Anolis sagrei: one gene and its partners. The protein of the gene in region 1 purifies or fractionates together with the protein of each later gene. This does not show direct contact. Links are inferred from orthologs where the notes say so. Each region holds a gene or a part of one and is shown in the gene's direction. Other genes may lie near its edges.

What was found. The genes of interacting proteins can lie anywhere in the genome.
Region 2: the proteins of PRKAG3 (region 1) and PRKAA1 purify together in Homo sapiens (affinity purification with mass spectrometry; 3 studies listed by BioGRID and IntAct, counting the BioPlex papers as one, with this or other methods). This does not show direct contact. The link is inferred for Anolis sagrei from reciprocal best matches to the Homo sapiens genes PRKAG3 and PRKAA1.
Region 3: the proteins of PRKAG3 (region 1) and PRKAA2 purify together in Homo sapiens (affinity purification with mass spectrometry; 3 studies listed by BioGRID and IntAct, counting the BioPlex papers as one, with this or other methods). This does not show direct contact. The link is inferred for Anolis sagrei from reciprocal best matches to the Homo sapiens genes PRKAG3 and PRKAA2.

The regions. Positions count from the first base shown.
Region 1 is NC_090021.1:230,119,674-230,127,512, reverse strand, and holds the start of PRKAG3 (5'-AMP-activated protein kinase subunit gamma-3), read left to right. Parts: upstream 1-4,819; 5' UTR 4,820-4,871; coding exon 4,872-5,126; intron 5,127-6,679; coding exon 6,680-6,719; intron 6,720-7,839. UniProt on the Homo sapiens protein: AMP/ATP-binding subunit of AMP-activated protein kinase (AMPK), an energy sensor protein kinase that plays a key role in regulating cellular energy metabolism.
Region 2 is NC_090022.1:277,223,409-277,230,767, forward strand, and holds the start of PRKAA1 (5'-AMP-activated protein kinase catalytic subunit alpha-1), read left to right. Parts: upstream 1-4,358; 5' UTR 4,359-4,413; coding exon 4,414-4,516; intron 4,517-7,359. UniProt on the Homo sapiens protein: Catalytic subunit of AMP-activated protein kinase (AMPK), an energy sensor protein kinase that plays a key role in regulating cellular energy metabolism.
Region 3 is NC_090024.1:170,779,696-170,787,302, reverse strand, and holds the start of PRKAA2 (5'-AMP-activated protein kinase catalytic subunit alpha-2), read left to right. Parts: upstream 1-4,606; 5' UTR 4,607-4,734; coding exon 4,735-4,840; intron 4,841-7,607. UniProt on the Homo sapiens protein: Catalytic subunit of AMP-activated protein kinase (AMPK), an energy sensor protein kinase that plays a key role in regulating cellular energy metabolism.

The DNA.
Region 1 (7,839 bases):
ACTCCAGCCCATAGGATGAATATGGATTCAGGGCCCTTCCACACAACCCTGTATCACAGAATATCAAGGCAGAAAATCCCACATTATCTGAGTTGGACTCGGATAACCCAATTCAAAACAGATATTGTGGGTTCTTGTGGGTTTTTTCGGGCTATATGGCCATGTTCTAGAGGCATTTCTCCTGACGTTTCGCCTGCATCTATGGCAGGCATCCTCAGAGGGTGAGGGTTTTTCTGCCTTGATATTCTGGGATGCATGACTGTGTGGAAGGGCCCTCAGTTTGGCTCCTTGTCAGTACTGTTTGTAGCTATTGGTGATGTCTATATATCAGCTCCAGCGATGTATTCAGTATCCTAGATAGACAGGTATTCCTCTGTCCTGCTGGTGGGCTTCCCCAAATGATGTAGGGCCCTTCCACACAGCTATATAACCCAGAATAACAAGTCCCTTTGCTACTTCTGACAGCAAGCTGTCTCAGGCTAGCCTCAGCCGAAGGAACACAAGCAGGGTACTCTCAGGGTCCTTCCACACAGCTATATAACCCAATATCTTCTTTGAACTGGGTTATCAGTCCACATTGCCATATATCCCTGTTCAAAGCAGAAATTGTGGGATTTTATTCAGCTGTGGCTATAGTTAGTTATCTGCTATGATAAAGGAATAACAGGCCTTTGATCTGAGTCAGTAGGGCTCTTCATATGATTTTTTAAGCAAAGGATGCTAAATGTATTGGTCACAGAGGAAAATCCTTTTGATCATTTATGAAAACCATCTCACATACACATGCACACTCTGTAATGTCCTAGTTTCAACATGTTATATAAGTGCTCAGCTTCTACTATGACATGACCCTGATATATAGTAGAACTTGGCATCTCATGAAGAGTTAGGACTGGGCAGCCAAGGTACGCCTCTTACTTGTGATCTGACCCCAAAGTTACTCCCAAAATTCAAAATCTACAAAAGAGCAATACTTTCATTAAATGGATCTTTATAAACCACATCGCCACTAAGTTTGCAGATTTATTTTTAACAGCCTTATACAACGAATATCAGGTGTTGTAGGTTATATTTCACCACCTCTGAGTATTCCTTGCCTAAGAAAACAGTATAAAATAAATGGGTTACCATAAATAAATCAATAGGCAACTTGAAGGGTTGTGTATACACACACATATTAGATGGTTTACAAAATGACTAGATGTTTTAGAGGAGTTTTTAATATATCAAAGATCTGGTATTCGTTGTATTTTTCTACCTGGCTACCCTCTGAATGTGTTTCCAAGAACTGAAACTGCTCGACACTGTTGGAAAGTGTATGTGTCTGTACAAATCTAGTTCTTCACACTTGCCTCCAGCAGACAAGACTTCTTTCTCCCACCCTGGACATTCCACAGATATATAAACCCCACTTGCCTAGTCTCCCAACAGACCTTAGAACTGGGTTGTTGTAGGTTTTTTCAGGCTATATGGCCATGTTCTAGAGGCATTCTCTCCTGATGTTTCGCCTGCATCTATGGCAAGCATCCTCAGAGGTAGTGAGGTCTGTTGGAACTAGGAAAATGGGTTTCCTCTGAGGATGCTTGCCATAGATGTAGGCAAAACATCAGGAGAGAATGCCTCTAGAACATGGCCATATAGCCCAAAAACCATACAACAACCCAGTGATTCCGGCCATGAAAGCCTTTGACAAGACCTTAGAACCTCTGAGGATGCCTGCCATAGAAGTGGGTGAAATGTCAGGAGATAATGCTTCTGGAACATGGCCATACAGCCTAGAAAACTCACAGCAAACTCACAGCCTGAAAGGCTTTGATATCACAATCTAGTTCTTGATACCATTTTGGATTATATACCAGTAATAAGAGCACTGATCCACAGTATGCTGGCTACATCGAGTTTTTTTTTTAAAACAAACCAGGTGAATTATTAGTAAACACTGGAAATCTAACATTCCCTTTAAATCTACATAAATGTTATTTGGCAGCCAAGAAACAAGTAGCCTGGAAAATGAGAGACACAGTGGCTCTTTGAGTACCAAGTACTGTATACTTATACTCAAGTATAATCCTAGATTTTCAGCACATTTTTAATGCTGAAAAAGGTCCCCTCGACATACTCGAGTGAAGGTACTGGTGGGAAGGTGTGGGGCTGAAAGAAGCACTTTGCAAGGCTTCTACCAGCTGCTTGCCTTCTCCCCTTTCGGCACAGCAATTTAGTTGGATCTCTGTGCCTAGAGAGGAGGAAAGGAAGGCGTGCGACCTCTCCTCTCAGCACTGCTGTGGATTGCTTTGCCGAGAGGAGAAGCTGTATGTCACAATTAATGCAATTTTATTGGTATCTATTTTTATTTTGAAACTTACCAGTAGCTGCTGCATTTCCCACCCTTGGCTTATACTCAAGTCAGTAAGTTTTCCCAGTTTTTTGTGGTAAAATTAGGTGCCTCGGCTTATATTCGGGTTGTCTTATACTTGAGAATATACGATACCTTCCACACCACTAAATCAGGGTAGACAATTGTGGCCTTCTAGATTATGAGAAGCTCCCATAATCCTTCACTGGCTAGGGCTGATGGTAGCCACAATGTATCAAAATCTATAGGCCCGCACTTTGGCGACCCCTGTTCTCAATGTTTTGGCCATGCTATAGTTGAGATTGAATGTGCTGTCAATTGCTGGATCCCAAAAATGGGTGGATGGTTTAAAAAGAACAGAATAACTTCCACGCAGGCACGCAGGCTACAGCTCCCCCCTCGAAATTCTGATGGTGGTCCGCGAGAAGGCCTTACTGGTACATTATTTAAACTGTTATGTTTATTCATATCATGATCTGATCACCATGCTCGATATATCCCATATGCATGGGGTATTGGGGTAGACCCTCTTTCACTCAGACTCAGCCCCCCCCCCGAACCAAACTCAGCCCCCCCGTCCCCAAACAAAATCCTGGCTACGGGCCTGCTTCCACGGTTTTCTTTTACTTTTTTAAAAGCAGGATTTTAATGTATAGGGGAAAGAGTTCTTTTATTTTCTTGTGATGTTTAGCTTTTAACACTTTTCTCTGTTTTGAAACTGATTTCAAAATGAAGATGAATTGATTTGCATCATTTTATATTTTCACTGCAAATATTACAGTGATCGGAAACTGCCTGGCATGCTGTTGTACTGTAAACCTGAGTTTACAAAACATTTCATGTTGGTGAGGCACCATTTTAGGCATCTATAATTTTGTGAGTTATTCAGTTTTACTAGAAACCCAGAGGTTAAACCAACCCCTTATAAGAGATATGGACAGCCGCAGTGGTGCAATGGGTTAAATCCTTGTGCCAGCTGAACTGCTGACCTGAAGGTCGGTGGTTCGAATATGCAAGACAGGGTGAGCTCCTGTCTATCAGCTCCAGCTTCCCATGCAGGGACATGAGAGAAGCCTCCCACAGGATGGCATTCCCTGGGCAAAGTCCCTAGAAACGGCCAATTCTCTCACACCAGAAGCGACTTGCAGTTTCTCAAGTTGCTTCTGACACACACAAAAAAAAACATATGTAAATTGCAATAACGACATGCATGGGGACATGGCATAACTCATGAAAACCTTTCCTTTCTATTTTGAAATGTAGATTATCATGGATTGCTTATTTCATATAAACACAGAGGTATTTGCAAAACACACTGACACACTGCAGCTGACACACGAACAGATCCTGATTTTTGGGAAGCTCTGCTGTAAATAGATGCAGCTTGGCAACACTTTTGCTGCATCACCTCCTCTGACTGGTGCCTCATTAGACTGCAACTGGTGTAATTCCTTAGGCCAGTGTTTCTCAACCTGGAGGTCGGGATCCCTGGGGGGAGGGTCATGAGAGGAATGCCAGAGGGGTCGCCAAAGACCATCAGAAAACACAGTATTTTCTGTTGGTCATGAGTGTTCTGTGTGCCAAGTTTGGTTCAATTCCATCATTGGTGGGGTTCAGAATGCTCTTTGATTGTAGGTGAACTATAAATCCCAGCAACTACAACTCCTAAATGTCAAGGTCTATTTCCCCTAAACTCCACTAGTGTTCCCATTTGGACATATTGAGTATTTGTGCCAAGTTTGGTCCAGATCCATCATTGTTTGAGTCCACAGTGGTCTCTGGATGTAGGTGAACTACAACTCCAAAACTCAAGGTGACTGGCCAGCAAAACCTTCCAATATTTTCTGTTGGTCATGGGAGTCCTGTGTGCCAAGTTTGGTTCAATTCCATCGTTGGTGGAGTTCAGAGTGCTCTTTGTAGGTGAACTATATATCCCAGCAACTACAACTCCCAAATGTCAAGGTCTATTTCCCCTAAACTCCACTAGTGTTCCCATTTGGACATATTGAGTATTTGTGCCAAGTTTGGTCCAGATCCATCATTGTTTGAGTCCACAGTGGTCTCTGGATGTAGGTGAACTACAACTCCAAAACTCAAGGTGAGTGGCCAGCAAACCCTTCCAATATTTTCTGTTGGTCATGGGAGTTCTGTGTGGCCAAGTTTGGTTCAATTCCATCCTGAGTGGAGTTCAGAATGCTCTGATTGTAGGTGGACAATAAATCCCAGCAACTACAACTCCCAAATGACAAAATCAAAACAGTGTTCAAATTTGGGCGTTTCGGGTATTTGTGCCCAATGTGGTCCAGTGAATGAAAATTCATCCTGCGTATCAGATATTTACATTACAATTAATAACAGTAGCAAAATTTGTTATGAAGTAGCAACGAAAATAATGTTATGGTTGCGGGTCACCACAACATGAGGAAGTGTATTAAGGGGTCGCGGGAATAGGAAGGGGGGGGAACCACTGGCCTAGGCAGTCCAAGCGGTGCCAAGCTGCGTTCGTGCCACGGTGCAGATGCGCTCCCTCTTTCTCCCCGGCCTGGGGCGCAGCTCTGTCCGGGCGCCTTCTGACCCTTCTGGAAGTGCGGGGGTGGCCGAGGGGCGGCGGGGCGGGCCTTCCCTCTCTCCTCCCCCTCCGCTCCGCCCTCCCCTCCGCTGCCCGTGTGTTTATGCCAGGCCCACCCCACCGCCCCGCCGGACGCCCCAGCGCCTCGGCCCTTCGCCCGAAAGAGGAGCCATGGAGAGGCAGGAGGACGCGGCCTCGGAGCAGGTAAGGCGCACTTGGCTGCCAGCCCCGGCCGAGGAGCCCAAGGGGACGCCCTCCAGCCCCGGGGCGCCTCCAGACACGGCCTGCCTCTCGCCACGCACACGCCGCCGCCCGCCCGCCCTCTACACCAGGGCTTCTCCACCTGCCTAACGCCGCGACCCCTTAATACAGTTCCTCATGTGGTGGTGACCCCCAACCATAACATTATTTTCGTTGCTACTTCATAACCGTAATTTTGCTTCTGTTATGAGTCATCATGTAAATATCTGATATGTATTTTCATTCACTGCACCAAATTTGGCACAAATACCCGATACCCCCCAAATTGGAATACTGGTGGGGTTAGATACGGGGTTGATTTTGTCATTTGGGAGTTGTAGTTGCTGAGATTTATAGTTCACCTACAATCAAAGAGCATTCTGAACCCCACCAATGATAGAATTGATCTAAACTTGGCATACAGGACTCCCATGATCAACAGAAAATACTGGAAGGGCTTAGTGGGCTTAACCTTGAGTTTGGGAGTTGTAGTTCACCTACGTCCAGAGAGCACTGTGGACTCAAACAATGATGGATCTGGACCAAACTTGGCACAGATACTCAATATGCCCAACTGTGAACACTGGTGGAGTTTGGGGGGAAATAGACCTTGACATCTGGGAGTTGTAGTTGTTGGGACTTATAGTTCACCTACAATCAAAGAGCATTCTGAACCCCACCACCAACAGAATTGGACTCCCATGATCAACAGAAAATACTGGAAGGGCTTAGTGGGCTTGACATTTTCATTGATCAATCCCACTGGCCAAGCTTTGTAGATATGGATGATTTAGATTCAATTTAGTGACAAATCCCATCTGACAAATCTCTTTCTGTCTTGCACCAGGCCTTGTTTCAAGGGAAGGGTCTTTCTAACTATTGATGCCAGTTTTTGCCAGATCCTTTCTCTCAGGTCCCAGGGCTAACCTCACCTGAGCAGGTATTTGATGGTACAGTTGACTCTCCATACCAAAGGTTTTGGCGTCCATGGGTGCAACCATCCATAACCATCCCCCACTTAAATCCAAAAATCCAAAAAGTGAATGTTGAGGGCTGTTTCCTGTCATGGTCATGGGGAGTGTAAAAAAAGTTTCAGGGGGTTGGGCTAGGTGGCCCATGTGGCCTCTTCCAGCTCTATGATTCTATGATGCTATGACTTCATAGAAAGGAAAATCAGTCTTCTTTACAAGCATTGCAAATGCTGAATTATATCAGTAGTTGTTTGATTTTATACTTATTTTTAATACTTATATACTTGTGTAAAAATTTATCTGGCAGAAAGACATTTTGAGTGCAAAAAGTTTTAGAAGCCCTTAGCCAACATTTTAAAAATGAATTTAATGCCCTTTTTAATTTATGATAGCTTAGGAATGGAAACTTAGTCTGCAGGTTTCTTCTCTCAGGATAGCATTCTCATTGGAAATACTCCAGACTTGTAACATCTGCTGCACAGATCCCAATTCAGCATGGCATAGGCAATCTCTGTGTAATACCATCCGTTTGTGTTCCACTCCTAGGCATTACCACTGAACAATGGTCTCCAGCATCAGGAAGCAGGTGGGTAGTATGTTGGCTTTGCCTGCCGCTGGTGGAGTGACTTCTCCCAAGTACAGACTTCACTGCCTGTCATCCGCCTGTCATCTGTCTGTGCCCAGAGGATTGCTTTGGATACTAACTACCTGTTTTGGGACTTCTTCAAAAACTGCTAATCAATAACAGCACGATTTTGTACATATGCAGTCAGAGACATTACTTCATGCTCTTGCTGTTTGCCCTGTTTAGCCAGGATGGTGCCTTTCTGCCTAAACAATTGTTTCCATTGTACTACTTCATCACACTAGAGAAAAATGCACTTAAAATCCAGTTTCTGCCTCCTGCAGAATTCTGGGAGTTGTAGTTTAGGGAGGCTGTTAAAGGCTCCTTCCTAAACTTCAAACCCCTGAAACTTCAAACCCCTTAAAATCTGGTTTCTGCAAGAGGCAGAAACCGAATTTTAAGTGGATTTATTCTCTCATGTCTGGTATTGTGATCTGTCCCAGTATCCAAGTTCCACTTTCCTCGTTATTATGGTGTGGGGAATTCTAGTTTTGATGGAATTGATGCCATCTAATGTAATAAACAGATAATTAGAATAGAATCTGGAAGACCCAAATCCAAAATTCAGATTCCCCATCACAGCAATATTTTCCAGCCTCTGTTTTCTATCTGTCAAATGACAACCTACCTCACAGGGTTGTTGTGAGGCCACTCAATAAAGATTATGTTGATGGATACATAAATGCTTTAATAACCATAAAGGCCTCTTTTTAAAAAATATTTTATTGATAATTTTTCAGGAGAGGTGGGAGGTGGATAAGGGGAGGAGAGAAGGGGGGAAATATAAGGGAAGAGATTGGGAAAGTAAGGGTAGGTAGGTAGGTAGGTAGGAAGGAAGAAAGGAAGGAAGGAAGGAAGGAAGGAAGGAAGGAAGGGGGAGAGCGAAGAAAAGAGAGAGGAGAAAAAGAAAAAAATGATCCAAAATATATAAAAAGTTGGGTTATAGTTTAAAAGAGAGAAAAATCAACACAAGAAAAAAACCAGGAAAAATAACTATTTAGAACTTCTTTCTTTATAGTGGGATAGGTGATAATAGGAAAAATAAAATAAAATAAATAAATAAACAATTGTCTGTTGTATT
Region 2 (7,359 bases), on another chromosome or scaffold:
ATGTAGTCTTTGGATTTGCATTTTATGGAGGGACATTTCCAAGTTTCAGCTGAAGAGCTGACTGCACTACAAACCCCAGAATCCACAGGATGTTGTCATAGCAGCTAAAGTGGAATATAGTGCTATAATGGCATAGCTTGATAGGGACCCTAGTGTTGTCTTGTTACTGAAGGACCGTGAATACAGTCAGTCCTCTATACTTGTTGGGAATAGGGGCATAGGACCCCCATGAGAGTGAAAAACCATGAAAGAAATTACTGTTTTATGATCTGAAAAAAACACCTCTCTAGAAATATATAGGTCTTGGTGGTGGCCGGAGAGCTTTCGCACAATTAAAACTTGTGCACCAGCTACCCCGTTATCTTGGGAGGTTTGACTTGAATAGATTACTTCAACACATTCTACATGGGGTTGCCTCTGAAGACTGCTTGGAAGCTTCAGCTAGCCCAACACTCGGTGGCCAAGTTGCTCAAAGGAGTGGGGTACATGCAACTCCTGTTACGCCAGCTTCACTGGCTGCCTATTAGCTTCTGGGCACAATTCAAAGTGCTGGTCTTAACCTATAAACCCATAAAAATGATCCAGGCTCACTTTACCTGTCTGAGCGTATCTCCCTCTACGAACCACCAAGAACCTTAAGATCATCTGTCTAGGCCCTGATCTTGGTCCCACCACCATCGCAGTCGCATTTGGTGAGGATGAGAGACAGGGCCTTCTCTGTGTTGCCCCCCCAGCTGTGGATCTCCCTCCCTTATGAGATAAGATCTTCCCCATCCCTCCTGGTCTTCAGGAAGAAACTCATCCTGGCTGTGGGATCAAGTGTTTGCAGAATAGACGGATTTATTGGTGAAGATAAGGTTTTAGTGGACCACAATGGACTGATTTGGATGACAATTTGAACTGGCAAACTGTTTCAATGTATATTTATAACTATTTTAATGTATGCCCATTGTCTTTTATGTTATGTTGTTATATTGTGTCGGTATCGAATAGTTGCCTGTTGGAAGGCATCCTGAGTCCTTCTTTGGAGGTTGAGAAGTATGGGGTATAAATGTTCTAAATAACTAAATAAATAAACTTTTGCTGAAAGCTGATCATGGAATTGAACTGGAGGATCTAGAGTAGAGCTTTGTGTTCGTGACACGTTAAGTATGTCAGCTGCAGTGCGTAGGTTTCTCACACAAATGTAACAATAAACCTCCGAGTCTATCTGAAATAATACATCATATATTTTAAATATATAAATGGAAGGTTTTCATGAGGTATGTTGTGTCCTCATACATTTCATTATTACAATTTATGTATTGTATCTCTTATAAGGGGTTGGTTTAACCTCCCGTTTTCTAATAAAGGTGAATTATTGTGTCGCAAAATGGATATCTAAGAAGTGTGTCAACAACAGGAAATGTTTGGAGAGCTCTTATCGAGAGATTTCTAGAAAGATATTCATCAAAGTCAAACTGCAAATGTGGAGGCATGGCTGTATTGTATTTCTGACAGTTTTCTGGTGAAATGTGCAATTTGGTTTCTCTCTTCCCCTTCCTTCCTTTTCTGGTCTCTGGTGTAAAGTCGCTGGCCAGACATGCAAAAACTGGTCTTTGCCTCAATACTTGGGAATGGGAGCCATGAGTCAGCAGTAAATATATGCCTTGAAACTAGGATGATTAAAAATAAAAGTTTTACAAGTATTCATAAATTGCTTTTCTGTCCATCAGATCCACAGCAAGAACAAAAATGCTTTGAAACAAGATTAAAGCAATTAAAAGCTGAAGGCCTGGAAGGATAATAACATTAAGTGTCTGTCGGATGCTGAGTAACAAGGAAGCCTGCCTGACTTCCCTTGGGAGGGGGAGCCACAATTAAAGTGCCAGGATGTTTTCTGTGTACTTCACAGGATGGTGGAACAATGCGACAATACCGTCACTGGAGAGTTCAGTTCCTGAACAAGCTCATATGGGAGGAGGGTTGCATGTTGCAAGTCCCAAACTGAATCTGTGATGTATTGTGATTTATTTACTTATTGAAAATGTGAGGCACTGGATGGTGAGAATCTGGGACAATGACAAGCAATTGCTGATTAGATTATGGATGTCAAATGCCAAGATATTTCTACTAGTATTTCTGGTTACAGTTCCAGGGAGAAATGTATGGTACTATACTTAGGCAACAAAAATTAAATACACAGGTATAGGATGGGTGGCACCTGGTTTGAAAACTGCACGTGAAAGGGATCTAGGAGTCTTAGTAGCTGAACATGAGCCAACAGTTCATGCAGCAGCTAAAAAACTAATGTGATTCTGGGCTGTATCCATAGTGTTGAGACTGAGGAATTCACAGTCCCACTCTATTCTGCTGTTTACCAGTTATTTGGAGATAGGAGTCAAGTCTCAACACAAAATTCATTTATGCTTCATATACACCTTATGCTCATAAACCCATACAACATTTTAAATAACTTTTTTGTATTAAATGACATTAGCACACATTGGATTGGACTCTCGGAAAGCAAAGGTGTCACTCTCAGCCAACTATGTGGACATTATTGGAGTATTCTGGAATAAGGGATGCCCAACGTGTATTATTCCACTTCAGCGACCATGGCAACATTCTATGGAATCCTGGGATTTGTAGTTTTGGGTGGAGAAATAATAATAATAATAATAATAATAATAATAATAATAATAATAATCTCTCGGGAAGAGTCCAATATTCAGAGATTAATCCCAGACACCTGGACCTAATCATCAACATCATCTTGATTTATCTTTTTCTTAGGCAATCCCATGTCTGAATATGATAGCCTTCCAAGGGTTTTATTTTTCTTGGAAGATGCCTGTGCTTGAGTTTTTTTTAATGTGTGGCGGTTGGTGCACAGCCAATCAACACACAGTCTTCATGGAGTGAAGGTCCCAACCAGTGGCATGGTTAACATGATGGTGGTTTCTCAATCTGCTGCAGCCTTCTTCCGCATTCACAGCTGTTGTAACATATGCCATGTTATCTTCTGCCTGATCCACCATTGAGGTCTTCAGGTCTTTAGATTGTGCTTGGTCCCCTGCAGCCCCTCTTGGGAGTACATGACTCCGATGGTTATTCCTGCAGGTTCATTGGAACATGCAAACCCCCTCAAGGGGGATCTATACTTTATTTATATTCTGCCCTACCTCCCCGAGGGAACTCATGTGTTCTGTGCTGTGTTGTTATGCACAACTAAATCTAAATAATAATTTATTTATTCCGTATCAAAATCATTGCATAAATTAGTATAAAACTGATAAAATAAAAGGTGTGCAGGCAGCTAAATATCTTTTGACCAAAAACGGGCAACAGCGATGGCATTGTCTGCCGCCTCCAACAATTCCTCCCCTGTACATGAGGCAGGGCACAATGGACAAGTATACAGATGCAGAATTGCCTGTTCTGCTCCACAGTCACACAAGGGGACATGGAAAGAGCCTCCTCGAAGTAAATACAGTTGGGCGTCCCTCGGGCAACGTTTCTCATAAACGGCTAACCTTTCCAAATCCAAAAGCATTGCTTTTAAACATTTTGAAATAATAATATCACAGTCCTAAACCCTTGGGAAGTGTTCGACTTGTGATTTTGTGATACAAAATCCAGCATATATATTTCGTTTGCTGTGTCATACTGTGTTTTTGTATCAGTATAATAATAATAATAATAATAATAATAATAATCTGCAAAGGCTCTGGCATAAACCAGTACAGTAATTTATAATAAAAAAAACCAAGATTATGGCAACAAGAATGATTGACAACTGGAAAATAGAGGGAGAAAATGTGGAGGCCGTGACAGACTTTGTATTTCTAGGTGCAAAGATTACTGCAGATGCAGACTGTGGCCAGGAAATCAGAAGATGCTTACTTCTTGGATGCAGGCGAAACGTCAGGAGAAATGCTTCTAGAACATGGCCCTATAGCCCGAAAAAACCCACAAGAACCTAGCTCAATATTAGTATTATATTTAATTATATTGTACTATATCATTATTCTGCAACACCACCAGAAATATATATCACATGTAATATGTATACAATTATAATAGCTCTATAACAGTTCGGTGCAGTGGTCTTCTAAAATTTTTGGATTTCAGTTCCAGGTTTTGGGACTTCAATTCCCATAATTCCTCACAATTGGCCGAGGTAGCTGGGGCTTCTGGGAGTTGGAGTCCCCATCGGCTGAGTGTACCAGGGCCATATGATAGCTGTATTGCAGCATCCCTGTTTTCGAGGCGGGCGGGCCCTTTTGTGGTTGTATGCCGCCAACGCTGCTCCTCCTCCTGTTCAGTCTCGCCTGGCCCCGCCCCTTTCCTTTTGGGAGGGGAGGGGAAACCCAGCCTCGTCAGTCTCGCTCCCTGCCTCTCTAGTGCGCAGGCGCGGGCTCTTGGCGCAAGATGGCGGCGGCGGATAAACAGAAACATGAGCACGGGCGGGTGAAGATCGGGCACTACATCTTGGGGGACACGCTGGGCGTGGGCACCTTCGGCAAAGTCAAGGGTGAGCCCTCGGAGGGGTTGCTGTGGGGGGCGCGGGGCGGGGAGAAAGGCGTCCTCCTTCCAAGCAGCACGCCCTTCCCTGGGCAATGGAGATCTGTGGGGTGGTGAAGGTGAGGAAGGTGCCTGCCTGTGCCCTTTCCTTCCTGAGGCCTTCCAGTGGGTTTCTTTCTCCTGAAGAGAGGTTACTAAGCATAGCAATGGATTCAAACGGGCAGGGAAAGAAATTAAAACATTGACAATCATTTCTTGATAGTGAGAAGTGTTCAACTGTGGAATATAATGCCTTGGAGTGTGATGGAGGGTCTTAAATCGAGGCAGAATGGCCATCTGTGGGGTTTGCTTTGATTGTGCCTTCTTGTATTTCAATTGGGTTTTATTCCTTTTACCAATAAAAGCAGAGTCCATAATGCTTTAGTGCAGGCCTGGGCAAACTTGGGCCCTCCAGGTGTTTTGGACTTCAACTCCCACAATTCCTAACAGCCGATAGGCTGTTAGGAATTGTGGGAGTTGAAGTCCAAAACACCTGGAGGGCCCAAGTTTGCCCAGGCCTGCTTTAGTGGTACTGTATGTTTTAATTGTGGTAATGTTTTATACTTGTACAGGGCATGTTATGGGCTGTAATTATATTGGGATTATTTTCTCTGTGTATTGCGATTTGTCCTTTTGACTAACGGGCTGGATGGCCATCTGTCAGTGGTGATTTGAATGCAATATTCCTGCTTCTTGACAGGGGCTGGACTGGATGGCCTATGAGGTCTCTTCCAACTCTTTGATTCTATGATCTGTTTGCTTTGATTTTGCCTTTTGGATTGTCAGTGTGATTGATACTATGTATACAGTGTTCCCTCGCTATTATTTTATTATTATTTCGGTTACTTCTACCCCGCCCTTCTCAGCCCGGAGGGGACTCAGGGCGGCTTACAAAGGCATCAACATAACAATAGAATAAAAACAACATAGCAGCAGCTAAACAATTAGCAATCAGTTTCTGCATTACAACTATAAAACCAATAAAACCCGATTTCACACATTTAACGCACCGCGTTCGCCATCTCATAGTCCAATTTCCAATTCCACTTTGTCAGTCCTGTCAGTCCTAGTCGTCTGATTGTCCTTATCTAGCTGTCAGATTGCCTGAAGGCCTGGTCCCACAACCACGTTTTTACTTTCCTCCTGAAGGAGAGGAGGGATGTTGATGACCTAATTTCCCCCGGGAGTAAGTTCCACAGGTGAGGGGCCACCACTGAGAAGGCCCTGCTTCTCGTCCCCACCAGCCTCACTTGTGATAGTGGTGGGGTCGAGCGCACTCTGGGGTGGGACGTAGAGGGAGATGCATTACGTAGAGGGAGATGTGCTACTTTGCGGTTCACGTTTAACGGAATAACTGTTACATGATTTTCAAAAAATATTAATTTAAAATTAAATCATGGTATTTTCACTGTTTTGTGGGGTTTTGCCATTGCCACTCTCGGAGGTGCTTTCCCTCCCTCCCTCCCTCCACCCTTGAAGGGCCTTTCCTTCACTTCATTTTAAGTGTATAAAGACTTAAAATAATGTATACCTACTAAAATAATGTATAAATATTAATATAAATACAGCATCTCTACATTGCAGTTTTTCACTAATTGCTGGAGGTCCTGGAACGTAACCCCCACAATAAGTGAGGGAACACTGTATTGTTTTTTTCTTGTTGTAAGGGGAGAGAGGCGGGATATAAATAAAGCTTTATTATTCTTATTATTTGGGGAGCCGTGGTGGCGCAGTGGGTTAAATCTTTGTGCCGGCTGAACTGCTGATCAAAAAAGAGTGGGTAAGCGCCCATATGCGAGCTCTAGCTTCCCATGCAGGTAAATTGGAGAAGCCTCCCACAGGATGGTAAAACATTAGGGCGTCCCCTGGGCAACATCCTTGCAGGCAGCCAATTGTCTCATACTAGAAGGGACTTGCACCTTCTCAAGTTGCAGCTGACTCTCTCTCTCTCTCTCTCTCTCTATATATATATATATATATATAACTTTATGGCAGAAAGGGGTTGGACTGGATGGTCCTTGGGGTCTCTTCCAACTCGTGATTCTACTACACTGAAGAGGAAGGAAGGGTCTACATTGAGAAGTGTCTTTGCTTGGTTTAGTTTCTGTCAGAGGGTGCTGTCAGATTAAAGCAGTTTGACACCACTTGAATTGTTCAGTGTTATGAAATCCTGGAGGTTATCCTTTTACCAGGTCCTTAGACGTCTTTGCCAAAGAGACTACCTGTAATGAAGGGTGTACCTATCAGGCATGGGCAAAATTGGGCCCTCCAGGTGTTTTGAACTTCAACTCTCACAATTCCTAACAGCTGAAAGTGGTGTCAAACTGAATTCATTCTATAATGTAATTCTGCAATTATAGAATGAATTCAGTTAGACACCTCTTGCACTGCCATGGCTCATTGCTTCACAATCCTGGAATTTGCACTTTTGTGAGGCACAAGCACTCTTTGGAAAAGATGGCGGAAGCCTTTGTAAAATGACAACTCCCAGAATTTCATATCATTGAGCCATGGCAGTTCAGGTGATGGCAAACAGCATTAATTTGATGATATAGATCAGGCCTGGGCAAACTTTGGCCCTCAAGGTGTTTTGGACTTCAACTCTTACAATTCCTAACAGCCATTGTGTGAGTTGAAGTCCAAAAACACAGAGGGCTGAAGTTTGCCCAGGCCTGATACAGGTGCACTTTGAGGGGCTTTGAGGGGGAAAAACAAAGTAAACCTTAACAGTTCTCTTTCAATCTAGATCTTGCCCTTTTCTAGTCAGGACCAAGTCCTGTTGAATTAAACTCCCAGGTATTATGTGGCAATAGT
Region 3 (7,607 bases), on another chromosome or scaffold:
CCCTGCCTTTCTCCATTATCCAGCGGATATTGGCAATCTGGTCTCTCGTTCCTCTGCCTTTTCTAAACCCAGCTTGAACATCTGGCAACTCTCGCTCCATGTATTGCTGGAGTCTTCCTTGCAGAATCTTGAGCATTACCTTACTGGCATGAGAAATAAGGGCCACTGTACGGAAGTTTGAGCAGTCTTTCGCATTTCCCTTTTTTGGTATGGGGATATAAGTTGATTTTTTCCAGTCTGATGGCCATTCTTGTGTTTTCCATATTTGCTGGCAAATGGCATGCATCACCTTGACAGCATCATCTTTTAAGATTTTAAACAGTTCAGCTGGGATCCTGTCGTCTCCTGCTGCCTTGTTGTTAGCAATGCTTCTTAAGGCCCATTCAACCTCACTCCTCAGGATGTCTGGTTCTAATTCATTCACCACACCGTCAAAACTATCCTCAATATTATTATCCTTCCTATACAGATCTTCTGTATAGTCTCGCCACCTTCTCTTGATCTCTTCAGCTTCTGTTAGGTCCCTGCCATCTTTGTTTCTTATCATACCAATTTTTGCCTGAAATTTACCTCCAATGTTTCTAATTTTCTGGAAGAGGTCTCTTGTCCTTCCTATTCTGTTGTCTTCTTCCACTTCCATGCATTGCTTATTTAAAAATAGTTCCTTATCTCTTCTGGCTAACCTCTGGAATTGCGCATTTAACTGGGCATATCTCCTCTTATCCCTGTTTCCTTTTGCTTTCCTCCTTTCTTGGGCTACTTCCAGTGTCTCAGCAGACAACCATTTTGCCTTCTTGGTTTTCTTTTTCTTTGGAACGTACTTTGTTGCCGTCTCCTGAACAATGTCGCGGACTTCTGTCCATAGTTCTTCTGGGACTCTGTTTACTAAATCTAGTCCTTCAAATCTGTTCTTCACTTCCACTGTATATTCGCTAGGAATGTTAGTGAGATCATATCTAACTGGTCTGTGTATTTTCCCTGATCTCTTTAGTTTTATTCTAAATTGTGCAATAAGAAGTTCGTGATCTGAGCTACAGTCAGCCCCAGGTCTTGTTTTCACCGACTGGATGGATGTCCACCACCTTTGGCTGCAAAGGATGTAGTCAATCTGATTTCGGTGTTGACCATCTGGTGAGGTCCATGTGTAAAGCCGTCTTTTAGGTTGTTGGAAGAGAGTATTCGTTATACACAGCGAGTTTTCCTGGCAAAATTCTATCAGCCTGCGTCCCGCTTCATTTTGTTCTCCCAGACCATGCTTGCCTGTGATCCCAGTTGTCACTTGACTTCCCACCTTGGCATTCCAGTCTCCCGTAATGAAAATAATGTCTCTTTTTGGTGTATTATCCAGTAGGTCCTGCAGATCCTCATAGAACTGATCTACTTCTGCTTCTTCAGCAGCTGTGGTTGGGGCGTATATTTGGATCACTGTAATGTGTAAAGGCTTTCCTTGCACTCGAATTGAGATCATTCTGTCATTTTTTGGGTTGTATCCAAGCACTGCTTTAGCGAATTTCTTATTAATTATGAAGGCTACTCCATTTCTTCTATGTTCCTCTTCTCCGCAGTAGTAGATCTGGTGGTCCTCTGATGTGAAGTGGCCCATTCCAGTCCATTTCAGTTCGCTGACCCCCAGAATGTCTATCTTTAGTCTTGACATCTCACCAATAACAACATCCAATTTGCCCTGGCTCATAGATCTTACATTCCAGGTTCCTATGGTGTGTTGATCTTTAGAGCATCGGATTCGTCGTTCACCTCCAGTACCGTCGGCAGCTAGCCTTCCTTTCGGCTTTGAGCTAGCTGCGTCATCACATCTGGGGCTAGTTGAACTTATCCTCTGCTCCTCCCCAGTAGCATTTTGGCCATCTTCCGACCTGGGAGTCCCATCTTCCAATGGCATACCGACATATCTCTGGTTGTACTGGTCCATTTAGTTTTCTTGGCAAGGATACTGGAGTGGTTTGCCATTGCCTTCCCCAGGGATCATGCTTGGTCTGACCTCTCTGCCACAACCGTCCCGTCTTGGGTGGCCCTTCACGGTTTTGCTCATGACATCATTGAGGTGCTCAAGCTCCAGCGCCCCGACAAGGCGGTGATCCTTTGCTGGAGAGTAGGATTTTATATACAGTTATTTCACTTATAATCATAAGGAATGTTGGAAGTCATTGTAAATTTCTTTGTTGCTGTTGATTTTAGCTGTATTTTTTTCTATATACCATATTTCTTCAATTGTGAGACACCATCAATTGTAAGATGCATCCTTATTCCAGTATCACCTACAAAAATACATAAAGTACACCTGTGATTCTAAGACTGGACAAAACTTAGCATAAATAAGCATCATGACCAGCTTTAAGTACTGGTAGGGGTGGGGGGTTGACCTTGGATGCTGGGAGTTGTTGTTCACTCAGTCAAAGAGGATGCTGAACTCCACCAATGATGGATCTGTACCAAACATGGCACACATCCCCATCTTTAAGTACTGGTGGGGTTGGCCAATGACAGAAATGATGGGAATTGCAGTCCACCCATGTCCAGGGAGCACCATGAATGCAATCAATCAAACTTGGAACACTTACCCATCATGATCAACTTTAACTACAGGCACCATTTGGGGGCAATGACAGATGACGATGGGATTTGTAATCTATCCCCATCCTTATGCATTTCCTAATGAGACTATTCATAAAATCCAAAAACTATGACTGCTTCTAATAACACTATGTAACAATATTTGAAAAATAAAAATCTGTTCCTGGTTTGAAAGTGTTATTTCCTGTTTAATTGTGTGGTACTTACTTTGAAAGTAGTTGTTGTAGTCCAGGATCTTCATTTTTGTGGCTTCCACAAACTATGTTGAATTGGTTGAGACCTGATGAGACATTCATTGCAAAACTCTAGCAAAATGTGCTGCAGGGTGTCCTGCAAAAAACACAGTTTTTGCAATGTAATAAACTGGGTTGCTGTGAGTTTTCCAGGCTGTATGGCCATGTTCCAGAAGCATTTTCTCCTGATGTTTCATCCCACATCTATGGCAGGCATCCTCAGAAATTTGTGAGGTCTGTTGGAAACTAGGCAAGTGCAGTTTATATATCTGTGGCATGTCCAGGGTAGAAGAAAGAAGTCTTGTCTACTTGAGGCAAGTGTGAATGTTGCAACTGCCCAACTTGATTTGCATTGAATGGCCTTGCAACTTCAAAGCCTGGCTGGTTGCTGCCCGGGGAAAATTTGTTGGGATGAGTTAGCTGGCCCTGGTTGTTTCTTATCTGGAATTCCCCTGTTTTCTGAGTGTTGTTCTTTATTTACTGTCCTGATTAGGGTGCAGTGAGTTAAACAGCTAAGCTGGTTGGCAGTTTGAATCCACAGGACAGGGTGAGCTCCTGTTGTTAGTCCCAGCTTCTGCCAACCTAGCAGTTCAAAAACATGCAAATGTGAGTAGATCAATTGATTTGGCAGGAAGGTAAGGGCGCTCCATGCAGTCATGCTGGCCACACGACCTAGGAGATGTCTATGGACAATGGCGGCTCTTTGGCTTAGAAATGGAGATGAGCACTAGCCCCCAGAATCAGTCACAAGTAGACTTAATGTCAAGGGGAAGCCTTTACCTTTACTGGGTTGTTGTAGGTTTTTTCAGGCTATATGGCCATGTTCTAGAGGCATTCTCTAGAACATCAGGAGAGAATGCCTCTAGAACATGGCCATATAGCCTGAAAAAAACCTACAACAACCCAGTGATTCCAGCTGTGAAAGCCTTTGACAATACATCTTTACCTTTAACACCTCCAAACAAAGGATTCCCCCTAGCCATGCTTTGAAGCTGCAAGGCCGTTCAATGCTAATTAAGGCGGCCAATGGCAACATCTACACTTGCCTCAAGCAGAGAAAACTTCCTGACTGTGAGAGCCGTTCAGCATTGGAACTTTCTGCCCTGGAGTGTGGTGGAGGCTCCTTCTTTGGAAGCTTTTAAACAGAGGCTGGATGGCCATCTGTCAGGGGTGATTTGAATGCAATATTCCTGCTTCTTGGCAGGGGGTTGGACTGTGGATGGCCCATGAGGTCTCTTCCAACTCTTTGATTCTTTGATTCTATGAAAAGCTCTTTCTCCCACCCTAGAGATTATTCTACTGATATATAAACCCCACTTGCCTCGTTTCCAACAGACCTCACAACCTCTGAGGATGCCTGCCATAGATGTGAGTGAAACGTCAGGAGAGAATGCTTCTGGAACATGGCCATATAGCCCCAAAACTCACAGCAACCCAGTGATTCCAGCCAAGACAAAACAACACAGTGATTCCAGCCAAGACAACTTTCCACATATTTTATGACTGAACCAATTAGGAAATGACATTGATAAACCAGGACCAAAAAAAGTCGTGTTGCATAGTGTAATTAGAAAAAATATATGAATAAATGAGAGAAAACACACACAGAGAGAGACATGTTTTAGCCATCCCCAGGGAGAAGAAATGCCTTCCCGCCTCTTCTCCTGCGTACCTGCCCACCTCTCTCCCTCCCCTTCCCTTCCCCACCTCTGGGCTCTGCTGCTGCCTTGGCTGTTGCTGCTGCCTCTCCTCGCCTGCTGCCTCCTCCTTTCCCCGCCGCCCTCCCCATCCCTCCCCGCCGCCTTTGCCGCCGGCCCTGCTGCATTGTGGTCCGGCCCGGCCGGTGTCGGCGGAGGCAAAGCTGCCAAGAGCAGCAGCAGCAGCAGCAGAAGCGGCAGGAGCAGCGAAGATGGCAGAGAAGCCTCCGCCGCCGCAGAAGCACGACGGGCGCGTCAAGATCGGGCACTACGTTTTGGGGGACACGCTGGGCGTCGGCACCTTCGGCAAAGTCAAGAGCTGAGTATCTCCCAGGGGGGCGCCGCGGAGAAGGAGGGAGGGAGGGAGGAAGGGAAGGGGTCCGGTCCTGAGAGCGCCCTCCCAGCGCTTCCCATCCAGGCAGGAGCCCCATGAGCGCTGCTCTTGCGCCTCTAGGACGCCCCTTCTTTGGGGCCAGTCTTTTAAAGCCCTCCCTCGGGGTCTCCCAAATGCCCCCCTCCCCCCTCCCCATGGCAGCAAGGAGGAACCCACCCCAACCTTGGTCAAGATATCAGCTCATTGGGGACATCCCTGTTTACCTCTCCCCGTTATCCAAAAGCATCTTTAGACTATATCCCAGACTTCGCCCTCCAGGTGTTTGGGACTTCAGCTCCTACAATTCCTGACAGCCGACATACACACAGTATGCATGCATACACACACACACATTAGGATTGTGGGAGTGAAGTCCAAAACACCAGGAGGGCCCAAGCATGCATGCTTGTGTGTGCGTGTGTATGTACACACACACACACACACACACACACACATATACATGCATACCAGGCATGGGCAAACTTCGGCCCTCCAGGTGTTTTGGACTTCAGCTCCCACAATTCCTAACAGCCAGCATACACACAGTATGCATGCATACACACACACATAGATTAGGAATTGTGGGAGTTGAAGTCCAAAACACCAGGAGGGCCAATAATGCATGCTTGTGTGTGTATATATATATATATATATACACCAGAAATGGGCAAACTTCAGCCCTCCAGGTGTTTTGGACTTCAGCCCCCAGAATTCCTAACAGCCGGCATACACACAATATGCTAATCTTCTCTGTATCATCCCAATTTTAGTATATGTGCTGCCGAAGTGAGCAATATGCATGCACCCATGTAAGTGTATGTGTGTGTATACACATAGATACACATACAGATGCATTAGGAATTGTGGGAGATGAGGTCCAAAATACCTGGAGGGCCCAATTTTTCCCAGGCCTGGTATATATATATATATATATATATATATATACACACACACACACACACACACACACACAGTATGCATGCATTCATGTGTGTGTGTATATATACCAGGAATGGTCAAACTTTGGCCCTCCAGGTGTTTTCCTAACAGCCGGCATACATGCAGTATGCATGCACACATGTAAGTGTATGTGTATACACACACATACACGTACAAATACATTAGAAATTGTGGGAATTGAAGTCCAAAACACCTGGAGGACGCAAGTTTGTGCATGCCTGGTATATACATACACACAGTATGAATGCATACTGGTAAGCTGTTAGGAATTGTGGGAGTTGGAGTCCAAAACACCTGGAGGGGCAAAGTTTACTCATTACTGGTACACACACAGAGAGATGTATATGTGTGTATATATACACATACATATACACACACACTATATACACTCTCTCTGTACACACACAGAGTATATATGTAGAGGGAGAGGGAGAAATCCTGCTCTGGTCTGGAACCTTGTCTCCCAAACGCTGGTCTCCCAGGTGTTTTGAACTCCAGCTACCAGAATCCCTGCTCATTGGCCCTGACAGCGGAGGCTTCTGGGAACTGAGAGTCCAAAACTGCAAGAGCACTGGGGTTGAAGGTCTGGGGGTATTTCTCAAAGCAAAGGTGGAGTCGTTGGTGGACCTGCCTCATTGTCAAAGGCAAACACTTGGTACAAATGATCTTAACGTGTTTTTAATCTCACCTCTGCTATGTAATATAATAATAATAAAACTTGATATCCCGCCCACCTCCCAACATGGGACTCAGAGCGTCTGACAACATAAAAGGCAAATATGCAATGCCAACAAGTATATACATAATACTGTAGACTTTGAGAGGTTTTTTTGTGTCAGGAGCAACTTGAGAAACTGCAAGTTGCTTCTGGTGTGAGCGAATTGGTCATCTGCAAGGACATTTCCAAGGGGACACTTGGATGTTTTACTATCCTGTGGCAGCCTTCTCTCATGTCCCAGCATGAGAAGCTGGAGCTGACAGATGGAAGCTCACCCTGCTCCTCAGATTTGAACCGCCGACTTTTCAGTCAGCAGTTTTGCCAACACAAGAGTTTTACCCATTGTGCCACTGGGAGCTCCTAGAATCTCAGTTAACTGGCACCCACAGGGATTGGTAGATGTATTTATTTATTTATTTGCAGTATTTGTATACCACCCTTCTCAACCCCGAAGAGCACTTAGAGTAGTTCACAGTGTTCGCAACAATTCAATGCCATCAATAAAAAACAGTATAAATGTCAAATAAATGTGGTTTCTGGTTGCTTGAGAGTTACTAGTAAAAATAGGCCTCATATTCTACGCTATTCTGTACCATATCATATCATAAACTCTGTATTGACAATATTAATATTGAAATACAGCAATGGAAAGTCATTTAGGAAAGATAAAGAGAAGCTTAATTTATCACAGTTTTATTGTATTGTAAAAACAGTTTTGTGAATTCTATGTAATTTCTTTGATTTCTTTTGCTAGTTAGTTGAGAGTCTATTTTATAAATGTTTTAATGATCTTGTTATCTATATATTTTAAGTGTATTGTCCCTTGCCTTGAGGGAAAGTTGGGTGAATAATAATAATAATAACAACAACAAAAACAATCCAAAATGCAAGCATTCGTCTACTGCTTTCTACATATAGGATTACCACATATTGGAGCCCCCAGTAGCATGGTGGTTTAAACCACTGAGCTGCCGAACTTGCTGATCGAAAGGTCACAGATTCGAATCCTTGAAGCGGCATGAGCTCTTGCTGTT